Linked DNA regions of Sus scrofa. The protein of the gene in region 4 interacts with the protein of the main gene of each other region in a pairwise test. Links are inferred from orthologs where the notes say so. Each region holds a gene or a part of one and is shown on either strand. Other genes may lie near its edges.

Region 1 (3,139 bases), on a different chromosome or scaffold from region 4:
AGCTAGGGCTCCGCCAGGTACCCCCGCGGGAGAACAGGCTGAGCCTGGTCCAGGGGCCGCGGCCGCGCTAGCCCCGGGAGGCCAGGGCCTGGCCGCGCGCGCCTTTCCTCCACGGCCGCGAGCCGGGCAGGTCTCAGCGCTGCTGTGCGGACCACTCTCCTGGTTCCTCCCACCCGCTCCTCCCGAAGGCCCGAGCGGTAACTCCTGCGCGCCCGGCCGGGGGCGCGCGGACGGACCTGGCCCCGCACTCCTGGTGCTCAGGCCGGCCGCGTGCCCCGGGAGGTGGGCGCGGGACGACCCTAACCTGTTGTGTGATTCCAGTTGTGATCAGCCCCCGGGAAGGAGCGTGGCGGGCGCGCTGAGACATGCAGCAGCTCGTTCTTGTTTCATGGTGAATATTGAAGACCGGCCAGGCCGCGCCCCGCCGCCCCTGCAGGCCTGGGCCGCCTGCGTCCGCAGGGGATCTCAGCTCCCTTCCCGGCGACCTTGCCCCCGGCAGCAGGCCCCGTCTGCTGTCTGTGTGGCCTGCGGGGACTCGGCCCGTCTGAAAGGCCTGCCCCGTGGTGGCCGTTCGGCTCACTTTGCCAGGGGTTTCCTTGCGCTGAGGCTCGCGGGCCTCGGGTGTGGTCGCGGTGGGCGGCGGGCCTCCAGCCAGGCCGCCCCCAGGCCCTGTGGGTGCAGGGTGTGATCAGAGCCACAGTGACCTGCATTCCCCTTGCGGCGTGGGCGTCCCGGAGGGCTCAGAAGCCCCGCTCAGCGTCCCCTCTGTCTGTAGGCGCTGAAGCTGCAGCAGCAGGAGCAGAAGGCGGAGACGCAGCGGCTGCAGCAGCTGGAAGAACGGCGGCGGCTGCAGGAGGCAGAGCTGCGGCGCGTGGAGGAGGAGAAGGAGCGCGCCCTGGGGCTGCAGCGCAAGGAGCGGGAGCTGCGCCAGCGCCTGCTCAGCATCCTGCTGGGCAAGAAGGCCGACGACCCCCGCGGCCCCGACGAGCCGGGTGTCTCGCGCGCGGCCCTGCTGCAGCCCGTGCTGGCCATGCTGCACACGGTGTCGGCCGGCTGCGTGGGCGCAGGTGCCGCTGCACTGCAGCCCCCCGCCGGCCCAGCGCCCGGCGCCCCCAGGGAGACCCCGCCCCAGCCGGCGGCCGAAGGTGGCCCCCAGAACGTGAACGGGAGCGTCGTGGAGGAGGCCTTGGGCACGGAGAGCCAGCATCCTCGCCTGGCGGCCCCCGACGACGGCCCTCCCGAGAAGAGGTGCCCCGGCGTCCTGGCCTGCATCCCCGACAACAGCCAGCAGCCTCGGGCGGTGCCCGCCGCCTGCGACCAGAGCGCGCCCCGGAAGGACGTCCGCTCCGAGCAGGACAAGTGCAACCGCGAGCCCAGCGGCGGCCGGGGCCGGGCCAGCGCGGAGCGCAGCGGCGACGACCGGCAGGCGCGGGCCAGGAGCCGGACGCGGCGCGCCGCCAGCCGGGAGGACGGCCGGCCGCGGAAGGAGCGGCGGCCGCACAAGAAGCGCTCGCACCAGGACGGCAGCCCGCACCGGCGCAGCGCCAGCTCCGAGCGGGGCCGCTCGCGCAGGTCCCACAGCAGAGACCGGCACGGCCGGCGGGAGCGCAGCCGGGACCGCAGGGGCAGCTCCAGCCGAAAGCGCAGCCGCCACCGCCGCACCGAGAGGTCGCGCTCCGGGTCCCCCAGCCAGCACCGCAGCGCCTGGAACAGGTAATGCAGGGCGGGCCCAGGCCGCCGCCCTCCGGGAGGCCCGGGACCCAGGGAGCGGCGTCGAGCTGCTGCTGCTCTGCTCGTCCCCACCCAGCACACCCAGGGAGCCACCGGGCGACCGGCAGCGGCCAGGCTCCTTTCCTCCAGACCCGCCGCCGCCGCCGCGGTCAGAGGCGTCGACAGCCCCGAGCTTTAGTTTCCCTTAAAACTCCGATAGCTTTAACGTCGCCAGTCCTCGGAATCAGGAACGAGGCGCGGGCCGGCGCCGTGCGGACCGCAGACCCACCGGGCACGGCGGGCGGGCAGCGCAGAAAAGCCCGCGCCTCTGCGCTCGCCCCTGGTACCGACTTCCCGCGGCTGCGCTCACGGTCCCTCCATCACCGCGGCCGCGTGGGCCCGCGTGGGGGCCGCCTCCCCACACGGCACCCGAAGGAGGAAGCCCCGCCCAGGACGCCTGTTGGGGGTTGCCTTTCTCCCTTGTGTGTCACTTGAGCGGGCTGGGCACCAAGTTTGCTGGGAGCCGGAAGCGCTGTGGTGACCTCTGGGCCGGGAAGCCGCGAGTCCTGCAAGGCGGCAGCTCTGCCTCGCGGTCTGGTCAGGGGCGCGGGCGGGCGGGCGCGCGAGTGCTCCTTGCTGTCGGAGACGTTCACGTTTTCCACACCCGAGCGAGTCCGTGGAAAAGGAAGGTGGGGGCAGTTAGCTTTGGTTTCTAGTCCAGGTGAGCCTGTGTGGTTTTTTAAGAAGCTGTTTTGCTAAGTTATTTTTACTTGGAACGTTTCAAACAGATGTAAGGCTGCAAACTTGTTATCTTTTACAAGGTCTGCTTCTCCGGGTGAAGTTCACACTAGCTGTAAGGTCCACGTGGGGAGGACGCTGTTTATCCCAGCTTGCCTTTTTATGGTGAAATAAAGTCTTTTTTCCAATAAGCTGACGTTTCCCGTGCTTCTGTGGTTTCTGGGTGGTGTTTAAGTTCCCTGGGCTCTGTCATCAAGCTGGGCCTGATTTCCGGGTTGGAAATGGATGGAAATCTTTGCACACTGATTTCTAAAGCGACGTTTCTCATGCTGTGACTTTTGTAAAAACAGCCCCCTGGGAAGAGAGCCAGGGCCGTCGGCAACCACGGCCTGCGGTTTGTTTACAGAGAAAGAACATCTAACGGGTTCACAGAAGCCGTCTTTAAAGCTGGTGCCATTTCAAAAGAGTAGTCACGAGTTCCGGCTGTGGCACAAGCGGATCGGGGGCACCTGTAGTGCCAGGACACGGGTTCGACCCCCGGCCCGGCACAGTGGGTTAAGGATCTGGTGTTGGTACAGCTGCCGCGTAGGTCACAGCTCCCGCTGGGAAGTGATCCCGACCTGGGAACTCTATGCTGCGGGCAGCCATAGAAGGAAAAAAAAAAAAAGGGAATTGAAAAGGTTCCCTTCCC
Region 2 (3,500 bases), on a different chromosome or scaffold from region 4:
GAGATTCAGGCCCTGCTGGTAAGAGAAGTCTCAAGTGAATTTTCTATGTACACGGGGGTGGGGGGGGTGAGGGGGTGGGGGGGGAGTGTGTGTATGGGCTGGGACTCGGGGCGGTGGGGGGGGCTGCGCAGGGATATTGAAGGATGGGGAGAGGGAAGGTGTGATGGATGGGATCCTTGTTCTGAATTCATCCCCAGATCTCACAAATGTTCTGGTGTTTCCTAGCCTGTCAGAAGAAATCATCTTTCTCTTTCTGCCTTTAGGCAAAATTCCAGAACCACAAGCAAGACATAGCATCCGTGTTTGAGCAAGGCCATCGGTTCCTGAGAGAAAGGGAGCAGTACCTGTTGGAGTGTCTGGAGGGGATGGAGCAAGAGCTCACTGAAGGGAGGAACAGCCATGTCACCAAGGGCTCCGAGGAGGTCGTCCGGCTTGGGACCCTGATTACTGAGTTAGAGAATAAGGCTCGGCAGCCAGCACTTGAACTTCTGCAGGTGAGGGACCAACTAAATGGTGCCTGAGTCCTCTGGCTCCAGGCTACAGTGTGGCCCCTCCATTAGCATGAGATAGGGACAAGGAGTCAGGAGAGACAAGGTTTTATTTTCATGTATTGAATTCCTTGATAAGTTAATCAGTAAACCAATAGGCTTTAAGTCCCAAATTGCAATGGGCCAGGGATTGTAATATGCACAGATCACACAATGAAGTAGAAGGAGCTATACATTTATAATCACGAGAAATAACTGAGTGTTAAATCTTGCGTTCAGACTGAAACCACAGGAACTCCGGAAAAGGCTAGGGTTTAATCAGGGAAGCTTTCACAAAATTAGCGGCCCGTAAGGGTAGCCTTGAAGAAAATGTAAAGATTTGAATTAGCAAGAAGGAGGAATTGAACATTCTCTTTGGTGGAGGTGCATTGGTTAAAATGAAGTAAATGAATGTGATAATAAGCTTAACGAGTATGATAGTAAAAAGATGGGTGAAGGTGCTGAGGAAGATGGTTTGGAAGACGTGAAGGTGACATAGAGTGAAAGGGGCTACCTTTCTGGAGGCGTCAGCCTAAGTGAGGAAGACGTTTAAGGGAAGATGAGGTAGGGAAGATGAGGCCAGCCGAGTAGAGGCCTCCCAAGCCAGGCTGAGACTTCAGTCTTATCTTGATAGACAATAAGATTCTTAACAGATTAAGGAAGGCCCCTGGGAGTTCCCAATGTGGTACAATGGGTTAAGAATCCCACTGCAGTTCCTTGGGTTGCTTCGGAGGTACGGGTTTGATCCCCAGCCTGGCACCGTGGGTTAAAGGATTTGGCATTGCCACAGCTGCAGCATAGGTCATAGCCGTGGCTTGGATTCACTCTCTGGCCTGAGAACTTCCATATGCTGTGAGTGCAGCCATTAAAAAAGAAAGAAGAAGAAAAGAAAAGGAAGGGTCCTGGAGGGACTAGTCTAGAACTCAAATGGAGAAAAAGAAGGGGAAACATATGCCCTCATAAATGGATATTACAGAGGAGCACAGAATAGGACTAGGCCCTGTACAGAATAATTCTCTGTATGGTCTCCCCTGTTCCCCAACAAGCCCATTGTAGGGAATGGTGTTGGCTCCTGGGAACCTTGTTTCTATGACAATCTGTGTTCTCTTCCTTTCCAGGACCCAAGTGACATAATAAACAGGTAGGTGTTGCCTTTTTTTTTTTTTTTTAATCACTTAGGTGTCCCTTTGTTTTTTCTTTCTGTCACCTTTTTGAAATTTGGCAAGGGTGGGAAAGGGATTCTTGGGAGGAAGAGAGGTTCTTTTAGAATGGATAAGTTGAAAGATATTCCATGGAATGGGGGAAGGAGTTCTGGAAAATTATTGTCATGGAATTTAGGATGGTAATAGGATAGGGAGAAGGGAAATGGGAAGAGATTATGGGAGGGTATTAGAGAAAATTTAGCATATGTGTTTGTTTATCAAACTCAATTTCTTTTTGTTCTTTCTATTCCTACTTGGTTCCCTGCCGCCTCTCCTGGCACAGCTTCCCTCATATGCTGTACAGCATGTTTCATCATTGCATTGTCCTCCATGCTCCGTAGTGATGGTTTCCTGCTCTCTGCCTGACCATAAGAAGTGGACTCTCGGAGTTCACGTTGTGGCGCAGCGGAAACAAAGCCGACTAGGAACCATGAGGTTGCAGGTTCGATCCCTGGCCTCGATCAGTGGCTTTAGGATCCGGCGTTGCTGTGAGCTGTGGTGTAGGTTGCAGACATGGCTTGAATCTGGTGTTGCTGTGGCTCTGATGTAGGCCAGCAGCTATAGCTCTGATTAGACCCCTCGCCTGGGAACCGCCATATGCTGCGGATACAGTCCTAAAAAGACAAAAGACAAAAAAAAAAAAAAAAAGAAGTGGACTCTCATATGGGTCATAGGGATAATGGTTTCTGTGATAGTTTGACAGGAATTATACCTGCCTAATATCAGAAGCTTTGAACAGAGATACAAGGCAGGTATGTTACTAAAAACACAGTTCATCCTGGAGACATCCAGGATTATTAGCCTATACTTAACATTTACTGTGGAGCAGGAGCAGTTACTGGGTAGAAAGGAGGGTGATGAGACTCTGGCTGGGGAGACTAGACAGAGACAATTACAGATGAGTAGTTATTCAGTTAAGGAGAGTGATGCCGAATGGGTGGTACTTCTTGCCCCAGAGTAATGTGTCTAATGTTAGTAAAATTATTCTAGTGTTTTTTTTGATTAGTGTCTGCATGCTATTTAACTTTTTACCCTTTAACTCTCAACCTTTCTGTGTTCTGCTGTGTTTTTGTTTTCTTTCTTTCTTTCTTTCTTTTTGCATTGGTTTGGTGGTTTTTCTTTTTTTTTTTTTTTCTTAGGGCCACATCCAAGACATATGGAGGTTCCCAGGCTAGGGGTCGAATCAAAGCTACAGCTGCCGGCCTACACCACAGCCACAGCAACTCCAGATCCGAGCCACCTCTGCGACCTACACCACAGCTCACGGCAATGCTGGATCCTTAACCCACTGGGTGAGGCCAGGGATTGAACCCACAACCTCATGGTTCCTAGTCAGATTTATTTCCGCTGAACCACAACAGGAAGTCCGGGGCAGTTTTTTGTTGTTGTTGTTGTTTTGTTTTGTTTTGTTGTCTTTTGTCTTTTTAGGGCCATAAATTTTTGTTTTCTTTTTAAATAAATTCATTCTGACACTTTTAAATTGGAATGTTTACTATTTATAGTGCCTGGAAAATCACCATTTTCACTTATATTTTTAAAAGTATTTGCATGGTTTGCCTAATAATGTCCTTAAATTTAATTTCTTTGTATCTGAATATATTTGTTTGTTTTGTGTATTTCTACTTTTGACTCCTCTACTTGCCTCTCTCTTCTTTTTTTCTATTTTAAATATTTTTTTTTGTTTTTGTATGTATATGAGCCCTGCTTTTGTCATATGCCATAATTTCTATGATATTTTCATTGTTTTCTAGATATTTTGTTTTGTTTGCTT
Region 3 (4,071 bases), on a different chromosome or scaffold from region 4:
GGTCAAATGGCATGTGCATATTTAAAAATAAAACTTTTTATTTCAGAATAATTTTTGGTTTACAGAAATATTTTGAAGGCACTATAGGCAGTTCCTGTATACTCCACACTGTTTCCTCTATTATTAACATCTCACATTAGTATAGCACATTTGTCACAGTTCCAATGATCCAATGTTGAGATAACATTAACAAAAGTCCAGATTTCTTTATTTTTATTAATGTCCTTTTTCTATTCCAGTTATCCCATCAGGATATCTCATTACATTTAGTTGTCATGTCTCTTTAGACTCCTCTTGGCTGTGACAGTTTCTGAGACTTTCCTTATCTTTGAAAATTTTGACAATTATGAGAAATGCTGGTTAGACATTTTGTAGACGGTCCCTTACTTGGGAGTTGTCCATTTCTCCCTTTATGATTTGATTGGGGTTGTGACCTGTGGAAGGAAAGTACGGTAGAGATAAAATGCCATTCTCCTTCATATGGGATCTAGTCCACATACTATCGACATGTTTTATCACTGTTTATGTGAACCTTGATCACCCAGCTGAAGTAGTGCTTATCTAGTTTCTCCACTATAAAGTTACTCCCCTCTCCCCTTTCCATATTGTACTCATCGGAAGGAAGTCATTGCAGAGTCCACATTTAGAATCGTGAATTATGCATGCCTGGAGGAGTATCTATATAAATTTCTCGGAATTCTGCACCAGATATTTATCTCTTCTTACCCATTTATAAATTTATTTGTATCAATAATTGACATATCAGTTTGGCCTATGGATATTACTTTTATATTTCAAGTTATAATCCAAGACTATTTTACTCGCTTTGTTACTCAAGGCAAGTGTGTTTTTAGTAGTCTGAGTAACTCACTATAACGCTACCCCGCCAAAGGGGATACAACCCGAAGGGTTCCCTAACTTCAGGCACCTTTTATAAAGTAGATAGGCGAGCAAGGGCGAGGCCGATACCTCTCTCCAGCGTCCAATTTCCTGACGCCCTCAAGGTAGATGAAGCCTGCCAGGGTAGGCCCTTCCCCAAGACCGTCACCTCCACCCCATAGGCACCCCATGAATTGCCTGCCCCCTGACCGCCTCCCCTCCTTGCGCCTTGCCTTTCTTCCGGGTTCCTTGCCCCACCCCCACCCTCGTGGGGCGGAAGTGGGCGCGGCCGCGGGCAGGAAACGCTCGACAGGGGCGGGCCCTCTCGCGCAGACAGCCCCTCCCATTCTACCCCCGTCCCACCCCTCCGGCCCAGACCGGAAATGAGGTCAGAGAGGGAAGCCCCGGCGGGGAGACTCGGCCCCAAAAGCGGCGGCCGTTGGAGGTGGCTGCGGCAACCGGTGAGGGGGAGGGGAGGTGTGGGGGTCGGGGCCCAGGAGGCCGGGGCCAGCGAGGATCCCGGCTCAGGGCCGCTGCTGAGTGTCCAGAGGCGCCGCGGAGCCGCGGAGGCCGGCGGGAGGGGCGAGGGTGACGGAGCCTTGTTTTTCAGGGCCCATCTCGGGAGATGAAGGTCGGGCCATCTCCGGGGCGACAGTCACCTTCTCTCTTCTTTGCTTTCTGGCCCTTTGGGGCTGGCGACAGCGAAAGGGTTTGTTGCCCCGAGCTGCAGTCCCCCTCGTCCTTGGGAGCGGGCCAGGGCGTGGGGGGTAGTCCTTCGAAACACGCTTTTTCTCACGTACGTGGCCATGTTGCGACCCCTGAGCCCCGAGGGACCCTAGTCGTCAGGATTTGCATTTTGTCAGTTTCTGCCCTAGAAGGGCTGACCCCCTGACCCGGGTCAGTCCAAAAGAGAAGTTGCCTCCTACGCTCCCTCCCCCAATCCCGTCTCCCTCTCCGACCCTGGCCCGGCCTCTCATTTTACTTCTACTAGTTTCGAGATCCTTCCTTTGCGGCGGAGAAAACAGCCTTTTCTGCTTGCCTGTCTCGGGGGTCTTATCGGACTGTGCATCCAGGGAGGGCTGGGAGTTCCAGGGTTCTTCTGTTACTGCTCTAATTGCAGCCTTTGAGGCAAGCATTCTCCTGCACAGGCATTTGATTGGCAAGTTGTTCGGTAACTTAGTTCCAAGTTGAAGTTTGTACACTTCTGCCTGTGGTTTTTAAAGCAGTAGTTCTTTTCAGGGAAATAGATTTAGATAAGTGCGCCCCCACTTATATAGCTTGGTTTTAGGGACAGTTGTTCGCCAAACCCCAGTCATGGAGATTTAAACTACTTATTGCTTAAAGAGACTTGGTCATTTTATGAGTGTGGCTTTTTACACTGAGAAGTTTCGTTTGGTTGGTGGTTTTGGAGCTAGGTGCCCTTATTGCTCCTTCTGCCTTTGAATTGGTTGGCATGAAAATAGATTTTTAGGAAGTCCTTTGCAAAATGTAAACCGTTGAAAGGTAAATACGGTCTGAGAGTGGTGCCACAGAGTTTTAAACTCAAATTATGATCTTGAAATACATTGGACTTAAGGGCTAAGGAAAAAGAGCTAATTTAAAATGTATTTAATTAGATGTATGAAATATATTAGACATTTCCTTTTAAGAGGGCATATTGAAAATCACTCCTCCTCCTCTCAGGATCTGGAAGGTTTGCCTGTGAAGTGATCCCTGAAGTATGATGGTTTGACAAGAATAAGTTGAAAAATAGGAAGTTTTGGAAAGCTGTTAGCTGGACATTGTAGACTCCACTCATACTTGTCATTTCAGCCTCAGTTATATCCTGTGATTATCTGGCCCTAAGCACAGAATTTGGTTGATCATTCAATTTATTTTTCTGAAGGATGAGGAGAACTTAAAAGATTCTAATTATTCATGTACTCTATAAGGCTCTTTACTTGGTAGCTTCTGGGTGGTAGTTGGGACCAGAATGGGTGCCGATTTTTTTTTTTTTCCATGCAGAGAACAAGCCTGGGTCACTATAAATTCTTGGATCACTAAAACTGCAAGCAGTCTTCCAGAAAGTATGTCACTAAGTTGTCTTTCTGTTCCTGCCACAAGCACTCTTATTAGTGACCCCAGACCATAGAACAGTCTTTCATCCTGGTTTTGAAGTTGAGTGTTTTTCCGCTCCTATCTCATGAGACATTTTCTCATCTTTTTAGATCTCATCATCAGGTAATTTACTTTAGCAAGTTTAATTGGGGGAAAATGGGAAGGGTTTATTTCACTGAGTTTGCTTGTTGTTACTAACAACCCAGTTGTCATCTGGTGCTTAAGAATATGTTGACCTCAGGAATTTAACAAGTGCCAGACACCTATGTTTAGTGGTTTAAGGGAGTATGGATGGTAGGAATAGAGTCTAAGTGTAGCCAGGTAAAAAGTGACTTTATTTGCTATAGATAGGGTGCACTCTGCAGTTCCATGATCAATTTTTTAAAATTATTCAAAAACAACAGATCCTGAGTCTTTCTTTTTCTTCTTTCTTTCTTTTTTTTTTTTTTTGGCGAATTTCCATTTGGCAGATGTGGCCTCATGGATGAGCTGGTACATGACTTAGCCTCAGCCTTGGAGCAGACATCTGAGCAGAATAAGCTCGGCGAGCTGTGGGAGGAGATGGCCCTGAGCCCTCGGCAGCAGAGGCGGCAGCTTCGCAAACGGAGAGGCCGGAAGCGCCGTTCAGACTTCACTCACCTGGCAGAGCATACCTGCTGCTACAGTGAGGCCTCTGAGTCAAGTCTGGATGAAGCCATTAAGGACTGTCGAGAAATGGCCCCAGTCACCAATTTTAGTGACTCTGATGACACGATGGTAGCCAAAAGGCATCCAGCTCTCAACGCCATTGTTAAGAGTAAGCAACATTCTTGGCATGAGTCTGACTCCTTTACTGAAAATGCACCTTGTCGACCGCTCAGACGCCGTCGCAAGGTGAAGCGAGTGACATCAGAGGTGGCTGCCAGCCTTCAGCAGAAACTCAAGGTGTCAGATTGGAGCTACGAGAGAGGCTGCAGGTTCAAGTCTGCTAAGAAGCAGCGTCTGTCCCGCTGGAAAGAGAATACTCCTTGGACCTCCTCAGGTCATGGGTTGTGTGAATCAGGAGAAACGAGGACTTTCCTAAGCAAAACAGGAAGAAAGGAAAGGATGGAGTGT
Region 4 (2,719 bases):
ATTTCTTTGTACTGAACCACATGACAAGGTAAGATGTGTTTTAAAATATTGGGGGAGTTCCCATTGTAGTTCAGTGGTTTAAGAACCCGACTAGTATCCACGAGGATGTGGGTTCAATTCCTGGCCTCACTCAGTGGGTTAACGATCCAGGATTGCCACCAGCTGCAGTGTAGGTGGCAGATGCGGCTCAGATCTGGTGTTGCTGTGGCTGCGGCGTAGGTCTCAGTTGCAGCTCCAATTTCGACCTCTAGCCTGGAAACTTCCATATGCCTCGGGTATGCCCTAAAAAAAAAAAAAAGTAATAAAAATAAAATATCAGGTTGTTTTCTGTTTATAAAAGTAATGTTTATTGTGAAAATTTTGAAAATTCGAGCAGTGTTAAGAAAATAAATGTGGAGTTCCCTGGTGGTGCAGCAGGTTAAAGATCCTGTGTTGTCACTACTGTGGCTCGGGTTCAATCCCTGGTGCAGCCTAAAAAAAAAGAAAGAAAGAAAATAAATGTTAGCTGGGACCTATCCCTTGTAAATAACCACTGTTCACTTTAAAAAGTGAAATACTTTTTAAAAATACACAGTACAGTTTATTCGAGTTAAATATCCTCACACAAAGAAGCTCGGTGTAGCTTCATTAACATAAGCTCATTCTGTATTCCTACTTAAATGTCGATAAATTTTATTTTTCTTTATCAGTGATAGTTCAGTTTCAAAGTATTTTCCCCCTAAGTTTTTTTGTCTTGTTTTTTTCTTTTCTGGATTTGGCTATGGAGTACAGTGGATTGATGTGGGATCTCAGTTCCCAGACCAGGGATTGAACCCAGGCCTCAGCAGTGAAAATGCTGAGTCTAACTACTCGAACACCAAGGAACTCCCTCCTACCTCACTTTTAAGTGCTTAGTATTTAATTAAATGTTATTAATAGTGCTGTCATTCTTGCATCCCATTTCTACTTCAGATAGAAAAGTATAATTAGGACTTAAACTATTTTCTTATTTTAGGATGTTTCTCTACCAAGGAAACAAAAAAGTGTATTTTTAAATTCCACAGGTGAATTGTTTTAAACTGGTTTTTTGTGAGTTTTTTTGTTTTGTTTTGTTTTTTGCTTTTTAGGGCTTTCAAGCTCGTTTAGGAAAGCATATGATCTATCCTGGAAATGTTCTATGTGATTTTAATTGATTTTTTAGGGCCACACCTGTGGCATATGGAGGGTCCCAGGCATGGGTCAAATCGGAGCTACAGCTGCTGACATATGCCACAGCCACAGCAACTCAGGATCTGAGCCACATCTGCGACCTACACCACAGCTCACAGCAATGCCAGATACCCGACCCACTGAGTGAGGGCAGGAATCGAACCCACACCCTAATGGATACTAGAAGGATGCTTTTCCGCTGAGCCACAACAGGAACTCCTAAACTGTTATTTTAGTTATGGAATTCTGACAAGCTCTGCATCTTTGTTTTAGAAGGAAGATCTTCTGGAGCCACAGGAACAGCTCCCCCCACCTCCTCTAACACCCCCCATTTCCCAGGTTGACGCTGCTATCGGATTACTCATGCCTCCTCTGCAGACCCCGGATAATCTCTCTGTGTTCTGTGACCACAACTATACTGTGGAGGACACCATGCACCAGAGGAAAAGGATTCACCAGCTAGAGCAACAAGTTGAAAAACTCCGAAAGAAACTCAAGACTGCGCAGCAGCGATGCAGGAGGCAGGAGCGACAGCTGGAAAAGTTAAAGGAGGTTGTACACTTTCAGAAGGAGAAAGACGACGTCTCAGAGAGGGGTTATGTGATTCTACCAAATGACTATTTCGAAATAGTTGAAGTACCAGCGTGAAAAGTGAAATTTGTTATTGGGTTTTAATGGGGCAATACCACATACCCTCTTCTAGCCTGTAGAGGAGTTTCATTTGAAAGAAATTACACTTGATTACTTGTATAAAAACAATTCAGAATATTTTTTTAAAAGAATAAATTAGATATATACTGTAAAATTGTAAAAATTTTGGTTTGTAATTTCAGGGTTTTTACATTTTAACAAACTATTTTCAGAGTTCTAAACTAACCTCAAACCTTCAATGTAAGTTAGTTTCAAGATTGAGGATTTTTGTTTTTTAATTTGAGTATTTATAGAAATGATATAACAATAAAAAGTTAAGAAAATGAAAACAACACAGTAAAGATGATTTAAGTTTTAAGTTTAAAATTGTAAATTAATGCATTTTATTGAGAAAACATAGTTATGTTCTAAATCAGAAGCATGTGACATAATTTCTCAGAATACATATGTATATTCTTATTCACAGATTCTTATTTGTAAAGACAGATGATTCATTTATCTTTCTTAATCACTTATCAAAGATAAATTGGAAAGTCAATACTTAAAAAAAAAGTTGGTTGTCTTCAGAGCAGAAAAGGAGAAATCAAAATGGTTAAATGACTTTAAAGAATGGATTCTTTAATCTCTTTCTCCCTGCTGTCCCGCGTTACAGAATTAGAAGTGTATCTCCAGTGAGAGAGAGATTCTTCTGTAAACGAAGGAGGCATTATTATCAATGAAGTCATGAAAGTGGGGGCCCGGTACATGGTCTGCCTTTTTCTGTCATTGCTCCAAGCTGAGGGGCATGCAGGCCCCCAGCTGTAGGCTCATCTGCATCCACATCTGTAACAGATGAGTTGTGTTCGTCAAGTTTGACTTGTACCCTAAGTTGGAAATCTTA
Region 5 (4,097 bases), on a different chromosome or scaffold from region 4:
TTGTTTTGTGTTTTTGGCCACTTTGCAGCACATGGAGTTCCCACACCAGCGATCAGATCCGAGCCAGTTTCAGCCAACATCACACCGGCAGCAATGCTAGAACCTTTAACCTGCTGTGCCAAGCCTGTGTCCTGGTGCTGCAGAGACAGCGCCCACCCCATTGCGCCCCAGCAGGAACTTGTCTGCCCCTCTCTGGCAGGGATCTGGCTGTTAATTCTGACCCAATCAGCCCATTCCCCAGTCTAGGACCCATGCTGAGTGGTGGTTACGCAGGCTTGCTGACCCTAGACACCTGCAGCGACTTAATTCGTGCTAGAAAATGACATTTTTAGTTTAATAATCTTGAAATGATAGACATGACCCGGTTTGCTCCCTCTGGTCCTGAGGCTTATAGATAAGTGGTGGGCTGCTGCTATGGTCTGGTAATACAGGTGTGACCAGGAGGAACTATTTAGTTTCGTATAAATAGGTCTTCAAATTGCACTGGAGAACTTGAGTTATGTGGGTTTTGATTTTCAAAAATCTGACTATAGAAGCAATTTATGTTCATTGCAAAACATTGGGGAAAAGTCATATGTAGTTTTATCGAGTAAAAGCGCTCTGAAATTACGACACAAAGATGTGTTCACCTTCCCCCTCTTTTTTGGGCGGATTTTGTGACCTCAACTTGGCCTGGACTCCCTTGCAGGGGATACAGTATGCAAAAGAACCTATTAGCATCTTTGGGGCTCTTCACTGCAGGTCAGGCACTCCCAGGACAATGCTCAGCGCTCTAGAAAAGTCTCCTTGGAATAACCCAGAGGTGCTTTGCAATTGCAGGCTGGGGCAGCAGAGGCCTGACGGCTTCTTGCTCCCCGTTTTGCGCACCCTAGCCTGGCCAGGAAGGCTCCTTTACGAGAAAACCGCCTCCAGTTTCCTCTCGAAGTTGATCTGAGAAAGCGCGACCAGGCCACCGCCTCCCGCAGGCCTCTCCGCCCACGCAGGCATCTGGGTCTCAGGTGCGGCCTCGTCGCCTCCTGGGCGCGCCCCAGGCCCGCGGATGGGGTAACGACGCGAACAAACACGCGCAGGGCGAGGCTGACCCTGGTGGCTGCCCAGCCCCGCGCCCGTGCCTCTCAACGGCCGCCGAACCTTCTGGAAGCGGCGCCCCGCCGCGGCCCCACAGCCGCCGCCAGAACCGGACGCCCAGGGAGCCGACGCGGGCCGGGGGGCGGGGCGGAGGCGAGCGCGCGGGGCGGGCCTTCGCAGGAGTCTGTGTTCGATTCGCGGTCGGCGCGCAGGCCCCGCCTCCCTGGCACCATGGCCCCGCCTCTCCCCTCCCCCTCCATGGCGCCACCCGGGCTCATTCATTTCGCCCCGGGCCTGCCAGACACCTGCGTTCTCCCTCGGCCGCCCGCCTCCGCTGCTGCCGCTGCCGCCGCCGCCGCCGCCGCAGCCAGCATGTCGGGCCCCACCGCGGATACCCCGTCCGCCATCCAGATCTGCCGGTAAGCGTGGCGTGCGGCGGCAGGCGGCCAGGATTCCGAGTCGCCGCCCGGGCCTGGCCGACCCTGTGCGCCCTCCCCTCCTCAGTCCCCGCCCCCGCCGGGCCGGTTACCTCCGGACTCCGCCCGCCCGCCGCGGCTGGGATGCGCCTCCGGCGCCGCAGAGCCGGCAGCCTCACCGCGTCTCTCTGCCGGCCTCCGGCGCATCTCCGGTCACGCAGGCCGTTTGCATGAGGAAGCGGTGCGGAGCCCTTCCCCTGGGCGGGGGTCGGAGCGCATCCCCCCTCTGCCCAGCCCAGCCCAGCCCTGCCCCGCCCGGTGCCCGAACGCGCCGAAGCCCCAGCCCAGGTCCCAGTGAGCCCCCTAATTCGAGGTCGTGATCCGGGCGGTGGTGCAAAGCCAACCGGATATCCCGACCTGTGCGGCGCAAGTAACCCGCTGGCTGGGCGGCGGCCGGAGCCCATCGGTGGGCGCCCGAGTGGGCGGGGGCTGCAGATATGCAGTCCCTCCTGTCCGCTGCCACGGTTTGGGGCGGGGCGGGGGGAGCAGGCTGTTAACAGCAAGAACAGGAAATGCCCTTCCTCTGTAACACTGCACTGCTAGGAGGGGAGGATGGTCGTTGAGCCCGGAAGCATCTTACACAATGGGGGCAAAGGCTTGTTCTTGTTGGGGGACCAGCCCTGCCTTTCTCCACCGGCACCGGCAGATCGAGGGCCTGGAGGACGCGCGGGAGATCGCGAGCCGGCTCATTTCCGACAGGAGCGGGAGGGCAGCCTCAAGGTTACTCTCCATTCCCTGGGACCGAGTGGAAGCAGGCACGGTGGCATTTGAGCTAAGGAGGGGCGAGGAAGCTAGGAAGGCCGAATGGTGGCTGGGGCCTGCCACGGGGCCTGTGCTGCTTGATGCCTCGGCGGAGAGTGACAGCGGCTTCCTGTTTGAGGGCCAGTCCTTCAGATTTGGAGATTGGGCATCACACTGACCTTGGGTCCAAGCCAGATTAGTTTCCTGTGAATGCCGGCATCTCTTTAGAAGAGGCAAAGGCTGGGCATACACTATGGTATCAAGGGGGTGCCCTGAATCCTGACCTCAAGGGCAGTTTTGATCTTTCTAGGGAGAGGAATTCTCTGGGGAGGGGGGGGTCTTTCACCACTGATTTGTTATTGGCTGTCTTGGCCCCACCCACTCCAAGTTCCAGGGGCAAAAATAATAGAAGTGGCTGATCCTGGGAGACAGAAGGGCCTGGAGTCTAGGCCTAAGATCCGTCTCTGCTGCGTATTGGCCAGGTGAACTTGGAGTTCATCTTTGCAAAGGGTTTTAACATCTCTCATGTTGCTCGGTTTGCCCAGCATCCCTGGGGAGGGAGGATGGCAGGAATCTCACCACTCTTGCTGTGGAAGAGGAGACAGGTCCTGGGAGACGCACTGCCTCCATAAGGTCATCCAGCCACAGGAGCGGGAGGGGCGGCTGCTGATAGGTCCTCTCTCTCCGGAGCTGCGTTTTTTGCACTGTGCTCTCCCCCAAATGGAATACTGATTTCAGGGTACTCAGAAAGGCTTATTACTTCCTCAGGGTGATGACTAGCCAGTCCATATATGTGACCGTTTTAAAAATCAGCTTCCAACCTTACTAGACACACTTCCGCGTGTGTGCCCATGCTTCTTTTTGCTTCTTAGCCGTGGTACTTGCCTATCTCTCAGATACTCACAATGGCATATTGTCTCTGAATGGGGACACATGGACAGGGCACCTGGCTGAGGTCGGCCTCAGGTGCCCAACACAACTGCCAGAGGGCCTGCAGTCACCAGGGCTTGGCCTAGAGAAATCTCAGGACATGGGAGAGTGGATGTACCAGCATGGGAAGCTCTTTAAGGCCATCTGAGCCAATGGCCCATGTTGAAAGAGGAGCCTCCTGGCTTGGGGCAGCCAAGCCTATGAATTTAACAAGCTTCGCTGGAAGCCTCTAGGGCTGAAGTGCCAGGAGGGCCAACTCCAACGTGGAAGATTTGGTCCCCAGCTTAGGGGCTTCACAGTCTAGCGGGGAGAGGATGCCAGAACCCCTCACGTGGCATCCTCGTCTGTTAAGAGTGTCACGTGACCTCGGTTTGACGGTGTCGAAGGGATGGGCTTTCGAGGCTGGGGAGGGCAGTGGTTAGAGCCAGCTTGGGTGTGAATTTGGCCTCTGCCCCTTGGAAGCTGTCGACCTTCCTGGGCCCCACCCATTTTATCATGGGCTCTTCTGAGCGCTAAAGAAAGTATGTCTGGTGCCAGGCAGAGTGTCTGGCACCTTGTAAGTAAAGGGAAGCTCTTTTTGTCCGAAAAGTGGGACACAGGCTTAGGAAGCCAGGAGCCTACTTTCGAATCCCAGGGCTGCCCCTTGCAGGTGTGGGCTTTAGGCTGGATTCTTAAGCTTGCAGGGCCTCCGTCTCCTTGTCTGTGAAGTGGAGAAAATAACAGCGGCTGTTTCAGGGTGGCTCTGAGCATGAAAACCTCTGGCACAGTGCTGGGCAGTTGTTAACAGAAGGAACAGTTTACCCTGCAGAGCCCGACCTTTGGACAGCCAGGCCACTGCAGTGGGCCGTCCCGCTCGTCTTTGGAGCTAGCCCTGAAGATGCG
Region 6 (4,144 bases), on a different chromosome or scaffold from region 4:
AAATGAATGTTTAAGAGCAATAAAGAGAATTGAGGAGAACTAGAATTATTTAGGAGAGACTTGACCTACCAGACATCAAAATAGTCTAAAAATAAACTATGGAAATCAAAGCCATACAAATACTGGCACAAGCAGATCTTTGGAAGAAAACAGAATGTCTAAATGAATTAAATTGGTACAAAATCGGAGTTCCCGTCGTGGCTCAGCGGTTAATGAATCCGACTAGGAACCATGAGGTTGCGGATTCGATCCCTGATCTCGTTCAGTGAGTTAAGGATCCGGCGTTGCTGTGAGCTGTGGTGTAGGTTGCAGATGAAGCTTGGATCCCACGTTGCTGTGGCTCTGGCATAGGCCAGCGGCTACAGCTCCGATTGGACCCTTAGCCTGGGAACCTCCATATGCCAAGGGAGCGGCCCAAGAAATAGGCAAAAAGACAAAAGAAAAAAAAATTTGTACAAAATGGATTTAGGAGACTAAACCTCCATGATCTGTCATTAAATGCTAAAATATCCTTAAATAATTAATATTTGTTACTCTTTCCAGTTGACAAATCAAATTTACCTATACCCTTATAACATCACTATGATATACATAAAAATGTAAGTAATTAACATATATTGCACTTGATGGTTTGATAAGGTCAGCATTTTTCAATGGACGGTTTTTTTGTTTTGTTTTGTTTTGTTAAAGCCGCACCTGCGGCATATATAAGTTCCCCAGCTGGGGGTTGAATGCAAACTGCAGCTGCCAGCCCACGCCACAGCCACACTGGATCTGAACCACATCTTTGATCTACACCGCAGCAGAGGCAACACAGGATCCTTAACCCACTGAACAAGGTCAGGGATTGAACCCAGCATCCTCATGGATACTAGTTGGTTTCATAACCCGCTGAGCCACTGACGGGAACTCCTCATCTGATGGTCTTACTCTTGTTTAACTCATTGTTTTTCACTTTGCTCTCCAGACAACTTCTAGTTTCTTCAACACTGCAGTTTCATTCATTTATATATAAAAATTCATTTGTGTATAAAGATGACCAGGAGTTCCCCCTGGCTAAGCAATAACTGAAACTGACTAGTATCCAAGAGGACACGGGTTCGAGCCCTAGCCTCCATCAGTGGGTTAAGGATCCTACGCTGCCATGTGAGGTGCGGTATAGGTTCCAGACGTGGCTTGGGTTCCCAGTTGCGGTGTCGTAGGCCGGCAGCTGCAGCCAGGATTTGACCTCCTAGCCTCGGAACTTCCATATTCCACAGGTGAAAAAAGAAAAGGGAAGGAACAGATCAACACCTCATTGGAGAATGTTCTTCCCTGTCTCTCCTAGCAATTACATGACCCCACCCTTCAAAAGCCTTGTTCAGAAGAGACAACCGACCTCACTCCTCTTCCTCAAACAAGGGCCCGACACAGGCCCAACCCCCTACTTGCCCCAGAAGCTGCCCCCGCGACTCGCCAGGCGGGACTAGCTCCGCCCACGCCGACAGCCTCCAGGGTTCGAAGGCCCCGCCCCCTTGGAGGAACTTCCCAAAATCCTGCGCGGCGGGCGTCAGCTGCGCTAAGATGGCGACTCCCATGCATCGGCTCATAGCCCGGAGACAAGCGTAAGTGAGGGCCGGAGTCGGGCCGCGGGGCGGGCTGGGGGCGGGGAGAAGCGCGTCAGCCAGCTGGTGAGCGGGCGCCGGGATGCTGGGCCAGTGTCAGATCCTCTTTGTGACTCGGCCGAAGGTGCCGTTTTTCTCATACGTTGCCTCCCCGCAAGGGGCTGGGGCCCGGGCGTTAAGTTTGATGTCCGGTGGACTAGCGATTTCGTGGACGACGGCTGAGTAGGACCGCTAGGCGGGACCTAGGGGTGTCTGAAGAGAGTTTAGCGTTTGGCTCCCGGTTACGGGACGCCCCGGAGTTGGTCACTAAGCGATTGATGCCCCTTTGACAAGTTAGCCGCCCACCCCACGCGTGACAGGGAGAAGCTTGCAGCCCTCATCCAACACCCCCTTTTCTCGCCGACGTAAACCTTCCGCTTCCTGTGAGGGCCTCCAGCCCATCTGGCTTTACCTGCTCCCTTCCTGTTACCTTCCCTAGAAACAGCTGACTACGACGCCGACTTTTTCCCGAACTATCTTCTCACTTTCTGCCGTTCATTCTCTTCAGCAGAATTTAATAAGCATTGCCTATCATTCTATGTCAAGTTTGGGGTATGAGGAAAAAGAAGTGTTCAAGGCAAAACCTCTGCTTTCAGAAAGCTTACATTCTGTTGGTGGAGTCGATAAACTAAACATTTTACGTAAATACAGTTGATAAGAGCTTTGAAGAGGAAATAAGAGGTGATGGAAAGAGAAAGATCCACGTTTGGTTGGTTGGCCAGGAAAGACTTTTCTGAAGAAATGTTTCTGTGGCATTGGAAGAGATCTGAAGTGTGAGAAAGGAGCCAGTCCTGAGAGGACTAAAGGAAAGAGCATCTAGACTGGAGTAGATACCTTGAGACAGGAAAGAACTTCGTTTTTAAGAACCGAAAGATGGCCAGTTGTAGCTAATGAGCTAGTGAAAGGGCGCGCAACAAGAGGTTTGCAGTGAGGAGATAATGAGGGAGTTCATGCCGGATGCCCCCCAACGTGTTTTTTTTTTTTTGGCCATGTCTGAGGCATGTGGAAGTTCGAGGACCAGGGATGGAACCTGAGCCCACAGTAGCCATCTGGGCCACTGCAGTGACAATGCTTCCTAAACCCGCTGTGCCACAAGAGAACTCCCCAGATGCCCCTTTCTTGTAGTCTTTTTTTCTTCTTCTAACCTGCACACTTAACTGTCTGCCGCTTTTTCACTCTCAGCCATTTTTGCCCTCACCATTTTCTCATTTATTGCCCACAGTCTGCTCGAATGTATGTTTATATTTCTTTTTATATTTATATTTTTTTATTTTAAGAACTCTGATCATCCACGTCTCCCTTTCTTCAGACTCTTCCTCTCATGCCCCATGAAAAGAGTCCCTTGAGCGTAAGGATAAAGACTTAGGGAATCAGAGTAAGTAGTATGCTGGCTGGAGGAAGGGCACTTTGAAGTCAAATGGTTCTGAGATTAAGAATGGAGTGACAGTACTTAATAGGTGTGTGCCTAATAATGTCACCAGGGTCTAATCTCTCACTCTCAGGTTTGTTCTTTTGTGTGTTGGTTCCATACTTGGATAGATTCACTCCTTTGGTCCTAAGAGGCTGTTGTATTTAGGGTCCTTTATGTCCTCTCAGCTTCAAGTTGATAGCATCTCACTGTCTAGGTTGGGTTCTATGCCCTTCCCTGAACCAGGTCTATGGGATTATGAAGCTATGATTGATTTGGATATCATTTTTTTTCCTAGCATAATTGAACGGATCTTTATAAGCCAAAGAAGAGCTCAGTGGTGGTGGTAGTTTGGTCAGAGGAGGTAATGATTGCTAGAGTGACAAAACCAACCAATATCCACTGTAAATATGAAGTGAAAGTAAGACTTCTAGTACTTTTAGCATACGTTTTGGAAGTATCACAGAATTAAACAAATGTTCCATTTTTGCAGTGTGTCTTTATGTAGTACATGAGCTTCACCGAAGTAAAAGACAACTCAGCTTTAGGAGGTTTTGGTCTTACTGGGAAGCAAACATGGTGTGTAATAAAACATGTCATGGTTTACAGACTGTCAGGAGTCCCCAAGTAGTCAGAGAGGGAGACCCTTTAGAGGCAAGGGCAGTCCAGTATTTTTGGGGGTGAGGGGAAGGCAGAATAGGAGCATTTACTTTGCATTTTATATTTATCAAAAAGATTTAACTTTGTAAGTTCCCTGGTGGCCTAGGAGGTTAAGGATCCAGCATTGTCACTGCTGTGCTTGGGTCATGGCTGTGGCATGTGTTCAGTCCCTTGCCCAGGAACTTCCACATGCTACAGGAGCAGTGAAAAAAAAAAGATTTAATTTTATTTATAAAGAGCATATATCACTTTCATAAGAACACTTTTAAACTACAGGTTATATACGAGAAAGTACTATTGACATTCTTTTTTTAAAAGTCTTTGGAGGAAAAGAGGAAATTTTGAACTTCCCATTCAGAACATCTTTCAGGAACCTAACTTTGAATCAGACTTAAACACAATTATATGCAGAATGAGAAGAGTAGAAGTGAAA

The links.
Region 1: the proteins of THAP1 (region 4) and AKAP17A interact in binary tests that used the Homo sapiens proteins (3 or more experiments, as listed by UniProt). The two-hybrid records come from large-scale screens. The link is inferred for Sus scrofa from reciprocal best matches to the Homo sapiens genes THAP1 and AKAP17A.
Region 2: the proteins of THAP1 (region 4) and tripartite motif-containing protein 26 interact in binary tests that used the Homo sapiens proteins (3 or more experiments, as listed by UniProt). The two-hybrid records come from large-scale screens. The link is inferred for Sus scrofa from reciprocal best matches to the Homo sapiens genes THAP1 and TRIM26.
Region 3: the proteins of THAP1 (region 4) and GPATCH2L interact in binary tests that used the Homo sapiens proteins (3 or more experiments, as listed by UniProt). The two-hybrid records come from large-scale screens. The link is inferred for Sus scrofa from reciprocal best matches to the Homo sapiens genes THAP1 and GPATCH2L.
Region 5: the proteins of THAP1 (region 4) and ACOT7 interact in binary tests that used the Homo sapiens proteins (3 or more experiments, as listed by UniProt). The two-hybrid records come from large-scale screens. The link is inferred for Sus scrofa from reciprocal best matches to the Homo sapiens genes THAP1 and ACOT7.
Region 6: the proteins of THAP1 (region 4) and ZCCHC10 interact in binary tests that used the Homo sapiens proteins (3 or more experiments, as listed by UniProt). The two-hybrid records come from large-scale screens. The link is inferred for Sus scrofa from reciprocal best matches to the Homo sapiens genes THAP1 and ZCCHC10.

Annotation. Positions count from the first base shown.
Region 1 is NW_018084901.1:902,435-905,573, forward strand, and holds the end of AKAP17A (A-kinase anchor protein 17A), read left to right. Parts: intron 1-775; coding exon 776-1,717; 3' UTR 1,718-2,639; downstream 2,640-3,139. UniProt on the Homo sapiens protein: Splice factor regulating alternative splice site selection for certain mRNA precursors. Mediates regulation of pre-mRNA splicing in a PKA-dependent manner.
Region 2 is NC_010449.5:22,797,397-22,800,896, forward strand, and holds part of tripartite motif-containing protein 26, read left to right. Parts: coding exon 1-18; intron 19-263; coding exon 264-494; intron 495-1,645; coding exon 1,646-1,668; intron 1,669-3,500.
Region 3 is NC_010449.5:99,324,311-99,328,381, forward strand, and holds the start of GPATCH2L (G patch domain-containing protein 2-like), read left to right. Parts: upstream 1-1,271; 5' UTR 1,272-1,340; intron 1,341-2,883; exon of another isoform or gene 2,884-2,945; intron 2,946-3,446; 5' UTR 3,447-3,456; coding exon 3,457-4,071.
Region 4 is NC_010459.5:11,767,603-11,770,321, reverse strand, and holds part of THAP1 (THAP domain-containing protein 1), read left to right. Parts: coding exon 1-28; intron 29-1,461; coding exon 1,462-1,836; 3' UTR 1,837-2,719. UniProt on the Homo sapiens protein: DNA-binding transcription regulator that regulates endothelial cell proliferation and G1/S cell-cycle progression.
Region 5 is NC_010448.4:67,251,298-67,255,394, reverse strand, and holds the start of ACOT7 (cytosolic acyl coenzyme A thioester hydrolase), read left to right. Parts: upstream 1-1,297; 5' UTR 1,298-1,299; coding exon 1,300-1,487; intron 1,488-2,031; exon of another isoform or gene 2,032-2,127; coding exon of another isoform or gene 2,128-2,264; intron 2,265-4,097. UniProt on the Homo sapiens protein: Catalyzes the hydrolysis of acyl-CoAs into free fatty acids and coenzyme A (CoASH), regulating their respective intracellular levels.
Region 6 is NC_010444.4:135,304,510-135,308,653, forward strand, and holds the start of ZCCHC10 (zinc finger CCHC domain-containing protein 10), read left to right. Parts: upstream 1-1,344; 5' UTR 1,345-1,563; coding exon 1,564-1,604; intron 1,605-4,144.